Linked DNA regions of Canis lupus familiaris. The protein of the gene in region 1 interacts with the protein of each later gene in a pairwise test. Links are inferred from orthologs where the notes say so. Each region holds a gene or a part of one and is shown on either strand. Other genes may lie near its edges.

Region 1 (3,644 bases):
ATTTTAGGACACAACTAATTTATGAAAGATGCTGTAAAACACACTGCATGGAGCTAATCAGGACTGCCTTCTTTAAGCTTTGAAGAACACATTAATATAACTGTCTTAAGTTCTGAAGCCTCCAAATTCTCCTTTCTGAAAGATTTAAAGAAGACAATTTGATTACAAAATTTTCCTGGCCAAATCTTGGTGGGCCCCTAAAAGAGGCAGTATACTTCCCATTCCCACCCCTCTGCTGGTAATACAAAGACTTTCATCTTTCTATTCTTCCACTCGCTGTAAAAAGGCAATTCTATCTGTCAGGTATTGGTAATAGGGTATGCCAGGAGTAATCTGTATTTGGTTTCTAGTCCTCTTTCAAATAAAATCTCTTGTACAATTTTGACAATAGGTTTTTAAATAATTAATGTCTAGTTACCTCACATCTTCACCTTCCTCTAAAATAGACAAACAGATAGTACATTTTTCCTCTGTGTCTTCCTCAGTCCCTTCTTCCCCATCTTGTTTGCAGTGCAGTTTCCTCTGTGAGAACCAATCAGTTGTTACCTTATTAGTAGAGATGACATTATTGAACAACTGAGTAAAGTCTGTGTTTATTTGAAAAACAAAAACAAAACAAAACCACACATTCATACCCACAACTTATTTCCCAGGTATGGCTGTCATGAATTAATGGTGAATTAAGTGACTACCACCAACTGTTGTTTATAAGGCCCTTAAACAGCATCAAAAGCATAATCAAATGTAACAGGAATTCATTAGTTTCTATTATTTTTAATCCACAATTAGGATGATACACAAGATAAACACTATTTTTGTCCCATCATGAGTACAGGTAAATGAACTTTATTTTACTAATGAGTATTTCAAATATCCAAATAAATTAATGCTAATTATAGTCTTTAGCTTACATAGCTGAAAGGACTTAAATTCAATGATAACACCTCACTAATACTCTTAGAAAACAAAAAAATACAAAGAACAGTTGTTTTCATTCTCTGTGTAGCAGAAGACATTATTGAAAGAAACTTATAGATTTGCTCCTTGACTTCTAGATATACTACTCCATAAGAAATTGAGGGCAGAATATAAGAAATGTAGATTAAATGTCCAAATAAATGGCGAGGTTAAATTATAGTACTGCTGGGACGCCTGGGGGGCTCAGAGGTTTAATGGCTGCCTTCAGCCCAGGGTGTGATCCTGGAGACCCGGGATCGAGTCCCATGTCGGGCTTCCTGCATGGAGCCTGCTTCCCCCTCTGCCTGTGTCTCTGCTTCTCTCTCTCATTCTGTGCCTCTCATGAATAAATAAATAAAATATTTTTAAAAAACTGTAGTACTGCCATATAATGAAATTTTATATAAACTATTAAAAAGAATATGGGTGACCTGTGAATGCTGAAAGAGAAGCAATAGGAAATGTGCAAAACTGTGTGTATATCAACCCCTTTGTTACTTTCGAAGGTGAAAGAAAAAATCCATACATAGTGACATTACTGTAAATGCATAAAAATATGCATTTTATGCATATTATAGTAAAGCTTACCTAAAAAAGTGTTAACTATGATTTTTACTCTTGGAGGGAAGACTTGGGTCAGCAGGGTAAAGTAACTTCAAGGATGTATTTTTAGACCTTCAATAATTTAAAAGAACTATGTATTGTTTTGGTAATAAATAATGTAGTTGCTAGACTCCACAATCTCAAAAAAGGTCCATAATATTAAATTTTATGCAATTTAATAATAAAATAGACATTTCATAGGATAAATTCTTACCTTTTTGTATTTATGTGGATATGTACATCTTTCAATTGTCCCCTGGGATGCGCCACGATTCACATTTCCTAATCTTTCTTCCAAATGAATCAGTTCCTGAAGGTAAAGATTAGTATCAAAAGCCAGGATGATTATTTTGTGAACACTGTTAATACTGTAAAAGCAATAAAGTTCCATATTTATAAACCTGCAATATAAATACAAAAGCCATATATGGTAAGGCAAATGTTTATAATTCTTTTCTCAGCCAATTGTAGTAGTATGGCAAAGTTATCCTTACAGATAAGGACAACATATTACTACATGTTACTATATAAAGTCAGTATGTATGCATGGAGAAGATGAAATCATTATAGAAAAATAGGGAAATGAATCAAAGGAACTTTCAAAGTGACATGAAGAAACAAAACTTCAAATCATACTCAAATGATTTGTTCTTCCTGAAAATTCAAACAAGATAGTTAGCTATGTGCTGAATTACTTAAGTTTCTTTTGTCCAGTAATGTTTCTCTAAAAATAAGCTTAGTCAAAAGCAGTTGAGATTTTCCACCCACATTTAATGGTATAGCTCTTTATCTGATATTTATATTGATTTAATAAATTTCTATATTATTTTCATTTACTCATCTTTAAATAAGTGGATTAATATTGCTTATAAACCTTTCTGTGATAACCCCCAGCAGAAGTATCAAAAATTCAGACATTATGCTGCTTTCTGATTCCCAGCCAGTGCAACAGTCCTACTCAACTCAGTCCTATTAGTGAATACTAATAATACATATATTCTCTCTCTACATTAAAGATATTATGGCAAATGTCTTCATTATTTGTATTACATACCTCAAAATTGCCCCTGAAAGGACCTCTGAATGATGTTCCATCCAATCCTGATGAAATGTAACGAATATGAGGATAGCCTGCCATGTCAGGAACCTATTTTAATAGAAGACATAGACTAAATCAAGTAAGAGTAGGCTTGAGTTTTAACACACTAAATAATTCAGACACTCAATTCTCTCCATTCAGCTACTAACAAAATTCAACTTCCATAAGTATACATGACTCCAACTAAGCACTCTATAAAAGGGTTAAGCTCCTCTTCAAATATAATCTCACAGAATAACTATTAAAATACAAGCAGAAAAAAAAAAAAAAAAAAAAAAAAGCTGTTCCATGGGAAAACAGGTTTCTTCTATTGATTTATTTTGCACAAAGAATCCTAAGTAGAAAATACCCAAAGTTAAAAAAAAAAAAAAAAAATACCCAAAGTTAAGACTGATGCTCTTGGTAGCCTAAACATATAAAAATTTTTGTAAATTTTGTCAATTTCAGAGACCTTTATTAAACCATATTACAAAAAAAAAAACAAACCATATTACAAAACAAAAATGCACAAAATTTTCCAACAAAACTTATTTCCCCTCCTCTATACCAAAGGTACCCTGATCCTTTTTTTGCTTAGTTCTGTTAGTGAAAGTTTTAATAGTGTTTTCTAATTTTTCCTAGGCATACTCAATCCTCATTATTCATGAATTTGCCTACTTGATAAAATTTATTTCTAGCTACAAAATCAATACCTATGCTCTCTCAATTATTCATGGACACATATACAGCAGCAACAAAATTGGAATTGTCTGACATGTTCCTCGCTAGGGTAGAACAAGGCTCTGTCTTCTTATTCAGCACTCATACTATAAACATGAGTCTTTTTTGTGATCTATTTAAGTGCCATGTTTTCCATTTTTGCGCTCTTTACTGATGATTTATTGTTTAAAATGGCCACCAAGCTTAAGTGTTGGTGACTAGTATTCCTAAGTGCAAGAAGACTGTGTGATATGCCTTATGGACAAAATATATATAGATAAGCTTC
Region 2 (4,107 bases), on another chromosome or scaffold:
TTTTCTTTCCTCTTGCTCTTCGGGCTCTGGGGCGGCGGGGTCCCGCTGGTCTGCATCTGAACTCCCACTGCTGGTGCTGGGGCTCTCATCATCGGACCTTTGCCTATCACTGGACATCTTGGTGAACTTATTTCTTAGAAAACTTTTAAAGAGAGGGGGGGAGAAAAAAAGAGAGAGAAAGGAAATATTAAGCCTGAGGGATCAACCAACAACAGCACGTTCTCCTCCCAAGGTTCCCCTACATTCGCATTTTAATGAGAAACACTTGCCAGTGCTCACACTGATCTCATCATCACCCAGCAAGGTTACACGGGGAGGTGGTGTGTCTCACCACGTTCAAGCCTTGGCCGAACTCAAGTTCGGAGAAAAAAAAAAAAAAAAAGAAAAGAAAGAAAAAGAAAAACAAACAAACAAACAAAACACCCCACTCACATTTTTTCTTTTTTTTTTTTTTTTTGTCCTTCCCCCGCCCCCCCCCCCCACCATCCCTTGGACAATCTATCAATTGTGTAGTTTCTCAGAAGGCATGAGACAGATTTGCCAGGGAACTTAGGCGACGAGCATTGAGGACACCTTGTGCATAACAGAGCTGGGGCTGAAAAATGTGCAAAAAAAAAGAAAAAAGAGAGAGAGGAGAGAGGAGTCACTAACGTCTCAATATTTAGGCGCTGACAAGGGTCCAGGCAGACCGTGCAATCCCCCTGCTGCAGCAGGAGAGCGGACCCCGCCGATGGCCCCCGCGCGCATTCGGGGTGGCGGTTCCCGCTCGGTGCACGCCGGCCCTCGCGGCGCGGACGGGGGGCGGGGGGGGGGGGGGCGGCGGCGGCCGGTGCCCCGGGCGGGCTCCCCCCGAGCTCCCCGAGCTCCCCCGAGCGGCCCCGCGGGCGCAGCGGGCGCCCGGCTGCACCGCCCGCCGAGCTCCCCGCGCCGCCCCGGCCCCCCGCTCCGCGCTCGCATCGCGGACCGACATTTTGTCCAGAAATAACCAAAAAAAAAAAAAAAAAAAAAAAAAAAAAAAGGGGGGAAAGAGGAGGCAAACACAAACAAACAAAAGCCGCAAGAAGTGCAGCACCTCCCCGCGCCGGCGAGCCGCGGCCGCCCCGCAGCCCCGCGGCCTTTGTGGGGAGGGCGCCCGGGGGCCGCCGAGGATGCGCCCCCGCCCCGCCCCGCCCGCGCCCCCGCCCGCGCCCCCGCCCGCGCCCCGCCCGCCGCCCGCGAACAAAGCTGCCGCCCCCGCCCCGCCCCCGCCCGCGCCCCCCGCCGCCCCCGGCCCCGCCGCCTCACCTCGGCCGCCCGCCCGGCCCGCTCGCGCGCCGCTACGCTGTGGGGGAGGGAGAGCGAAAAAAACCCTTCCTTGAGGAAATGGAGGCAGCCGCGGGGGGGGCGGGAGGGGGGGGAGGGAAAAAAGAAGCCGCGGAGGCTCCGGCCGGGGAGCGTGGAACATCGAGAGTCGGCGGGGGCCGTGCAGTACCGCGCTCCGGCCGGAGGGTGGCGCCGCCCGGCCCGCGCGGGGAAGGCCGGGGAGGGCCGCGGAGGCCGGGGAGGGCCGCGGAGGCGGACAGGCGCAGGAGGAGGAGGAGGACGAGGATGCCGAGGCGATAGGAAATAAATAATAAATAGTGAGAAATAAATAAATAAATAATAAATAGAGCGTGCGGGCGAGGGCTGCGGGCGCGGGCTGCGGGGGAGGGCGCGCTCCCGGGGACGCGGGCACCCCGCGCGCTGTGGCCTCCCGCCGCCGCCGCCCGGCTCGGCTCCTCCCGGCCGCGCAGTCAGCAAGTTCCGCGGCGGCCGCGGGGAGGGGGAGGGGAGGGGAGGGGAGGGGCGGGGAGGGGGAGGGGCGGGCGCGGCGGCGGCGGCGGCGGCGGCGGAGGGCGGAGGGCGGAGGGCGGAGGGGCGCGCGCTCCCGGGGCCGCCGGGCACGAGCGCCTCCCGCCCGCGCGCCCTCCCGCCCCCCGCGCCCCGCGCCCCGCGCCCCCGGGCCGGGAGCTCCGCGGAGGACGCGCGGGGGACGCGGCGATGCGGGGGCGCACGCGGGCCCCGGACAAAGAGCGCGGGCGGGGACCCTGCAGCCCTCGGCCGGGGAGGGCGGGGGCGCGGGGACGGCTTCCGGCCTGAGCCCGCCTCCCGAGCGAGGCTGCCCATTGGGCCACCCGCCCCCGCGCGCACCGCGCACCCCCGCACCCCGCACCCCGCACCCCCGCCCGCCGCGCCTCCGTGCACGCCCCGGGGGGGAGGGCGCGCCCCGAGGAGCCCCCGCCCTGGGAGGCCGCGAGCCTGCGGGGGTCGTGGAGCGGGCCCGGGAGGGCGGAGGCGGGGACGCGCTGCTCCTGGCCCGCCCCGGAGCCCCAAGGCCAACACGAGGTCGAGGGCATCGAAGGAGGAGGAAGGAAGGGTTGGCAGCCCAGGGCCCCGCGCTCTGCCTGGCTCTGGCCCTCCGCGCGCCCAGGGGGCAGCCAGCCCTTCGGAGGCTTTCACAACTTAAAAAATAACCCCAATCGGGGCGGGGAGGGGGGGTGTTAAACGTCCTGCCCCAGCCTGAGCTCGCGGGGCTCTCCGAGGCCGCCTCCCCCGCCGGCCTGGCCCCACGTGCACGCCGGGCAACCGTCCTGGAGCGGAGCGGAGCGGGGAGCGCTGGGCCACGCCGGGTCGGAGCGTGCGCGCAGGGGCAGCCTCGGAGGGGCGTCCTCCGGGCCGGTCTTGTCCCCTTCCAGCACCTTCTCTGCTCTGGGGTCCGAAGTACCAGAACTTCCTGTGGGCCGCCCAGATGTCCTCCAGCTCCTGGGAACGTGCTCCAGGGATGCAGCCCCGCGGGAAGCTGCGGATCCCTGTCCCGCCAGGGGCCAGGGGCAGGGCCAGGGCCAGGGGTGCTGGAGCCTGTGCAGCTCCCGGAGGCGGCGGGACCAGCAGCCATAACAGAGCAACCGGACTCAAAGCAAGAAAGAGAAGAAATCTGCGGGGGGGGCGGGGGGGGGGGAACCGAATGCACCAACATATTTTACTTACTTTCTCCAACAAGTAGGAAAGTTTGGGCTAAGGGTTGCGTACAGCTGCGAGGAGTAAGTCACATTTCTGTAATTTTCCAGATGCAGAGGCACGCGGTGCACCCTGCTGCTCGGTGCTGCACACACAGTCCACCTTTGGGACGGTGCGAGGGCCAAGCCAGCTCGCTGTCCAGGAGGGGAACAGATCCTTGGGGTTCGCCAGGTTGGTGAGGAGGAAGGATCCTCGAGTCAGCACAACCGCCAGGTCTCAAGAGATGGGGAAGAGGGAGCCTGCTCTGTGTGTTGACAAGCGTTTTGATTTGTGGGGATCAAAGGCTGCATGTGGACAGAACTTGGTAAAAATATACACAGAAGGGCCCCCCCCACCCCACCCCACCACCACCACCACCCCCAACTTTTACACCGATGCTGCGGCTCAAGGGCTCAAGCCAGCCCATTTGGAGTTTGGACTTTCCTGTTTGGAATGCGGAGCTTTGAAAGAAAAGCTGTGTATGGAAGTGGGCTCTTTTAGAAAATAGATTATCACAGAAATAGCCTGAAGGTCCAAAGGCCAGTTGCTGATAGGATTCGGGTGGGGCCAGGAGATTGGGAAATACAGATACTTAGTTGTGTCTCGGTCGCATCTACACTGGGCTGAAAAGCAAGGGAACTGGATTCTGATTTCGTCCTATCAGGTTTACGTGACCTCAGGCAAGTTACTTGTGCGAACCTAAATTTCCTCCTGTGTGAAAGGAGCTTGTAGCCAGCGGAGGTTCCAGGCGCCCTCCTGCTCAACAATTACGGGATTCTTCCAAGAGTTTGAAGTCATGTGGTTCCACTCAACGGAATGTGGCACGTGGGGACTACCAGATGCTGGGAAGTTGGAATAAAGCGTGGGTGCTGGTCCTGTCCAGCTCAGGAGGACTGAGGAACTGAGGGGGACAGGTAGAAGCGTGGGCTGTGGGAGAAGAGCTGCATTCAAGGAGTGAACAGAATGAGTAGAGTGTTTTAATGACCAGTCCACCGGTAGTGGCATTATTAATTCGGCTTGGGGACATAAGTCATGGGTGGGTTAAAAAGAACAGTGAGCTAGGCCTGGAGGAATGAATAGGTGATAATATAG

What was found.
Region 2: the proteins of RNF111 (region 1) and UBE2E3 interact in a two-hybrid assay, tested with the Homo sapiens proteins (2 studies listed by BioGRID and IntAct). The link is inferred for Canis lupus familiaris from reciprocal best matches to the Homo sapiens genes RNF111 and UBE2E3.

What each region holds. Positions count from the first base shown.
Region 1 is NC_049251.1:24,341,429-24,345,072, reverse strand, and holds part of RNF111 (E3 ubiquitin-protein ligase Arkadia), read right to left. Parts: intron 2,708-3,644; coding exon 2,615-2,707; intron 1,871-2,614; coding exon 1,775-1,870; intron 547-1,774; coding exon 419-546; intron 1-418. UniProt on the Homo sapiens protein: E3 ubiquitin-protein ligase. Required for mesoderm patterning during embryonic development. Acts as an enhancer of the transcriptional responses of the SMAD2/SMAD3 effectors, which are activated downstream of BMP.
Region 2 is NC_049257.1:24,551,633-24,555,739, reverse strand, and holds the start of UBE2E3 (ubiquitin-conjugating enzyme E2 E3), read right to left. Parts: upstream 2,920-4,107; 5' UTR 2,915-2,919; coding exon 2,718-2,914; intron 1,613-2,717; exon of another isoform or gene 1,285-1,612; intron 674-1,284; exon of another isoform or gene 652-673; intron 143-651; coding exon 1-142. UniProt on the Homo sapiens protein: Accepts ubiquitin from the E1 complex and catalyzes its covalent attachment to other proteins. In vitro catalyzes 'Lys-11'- and 'Lys-48'-, as well as 'Lys-63'-linked polyubiquitination.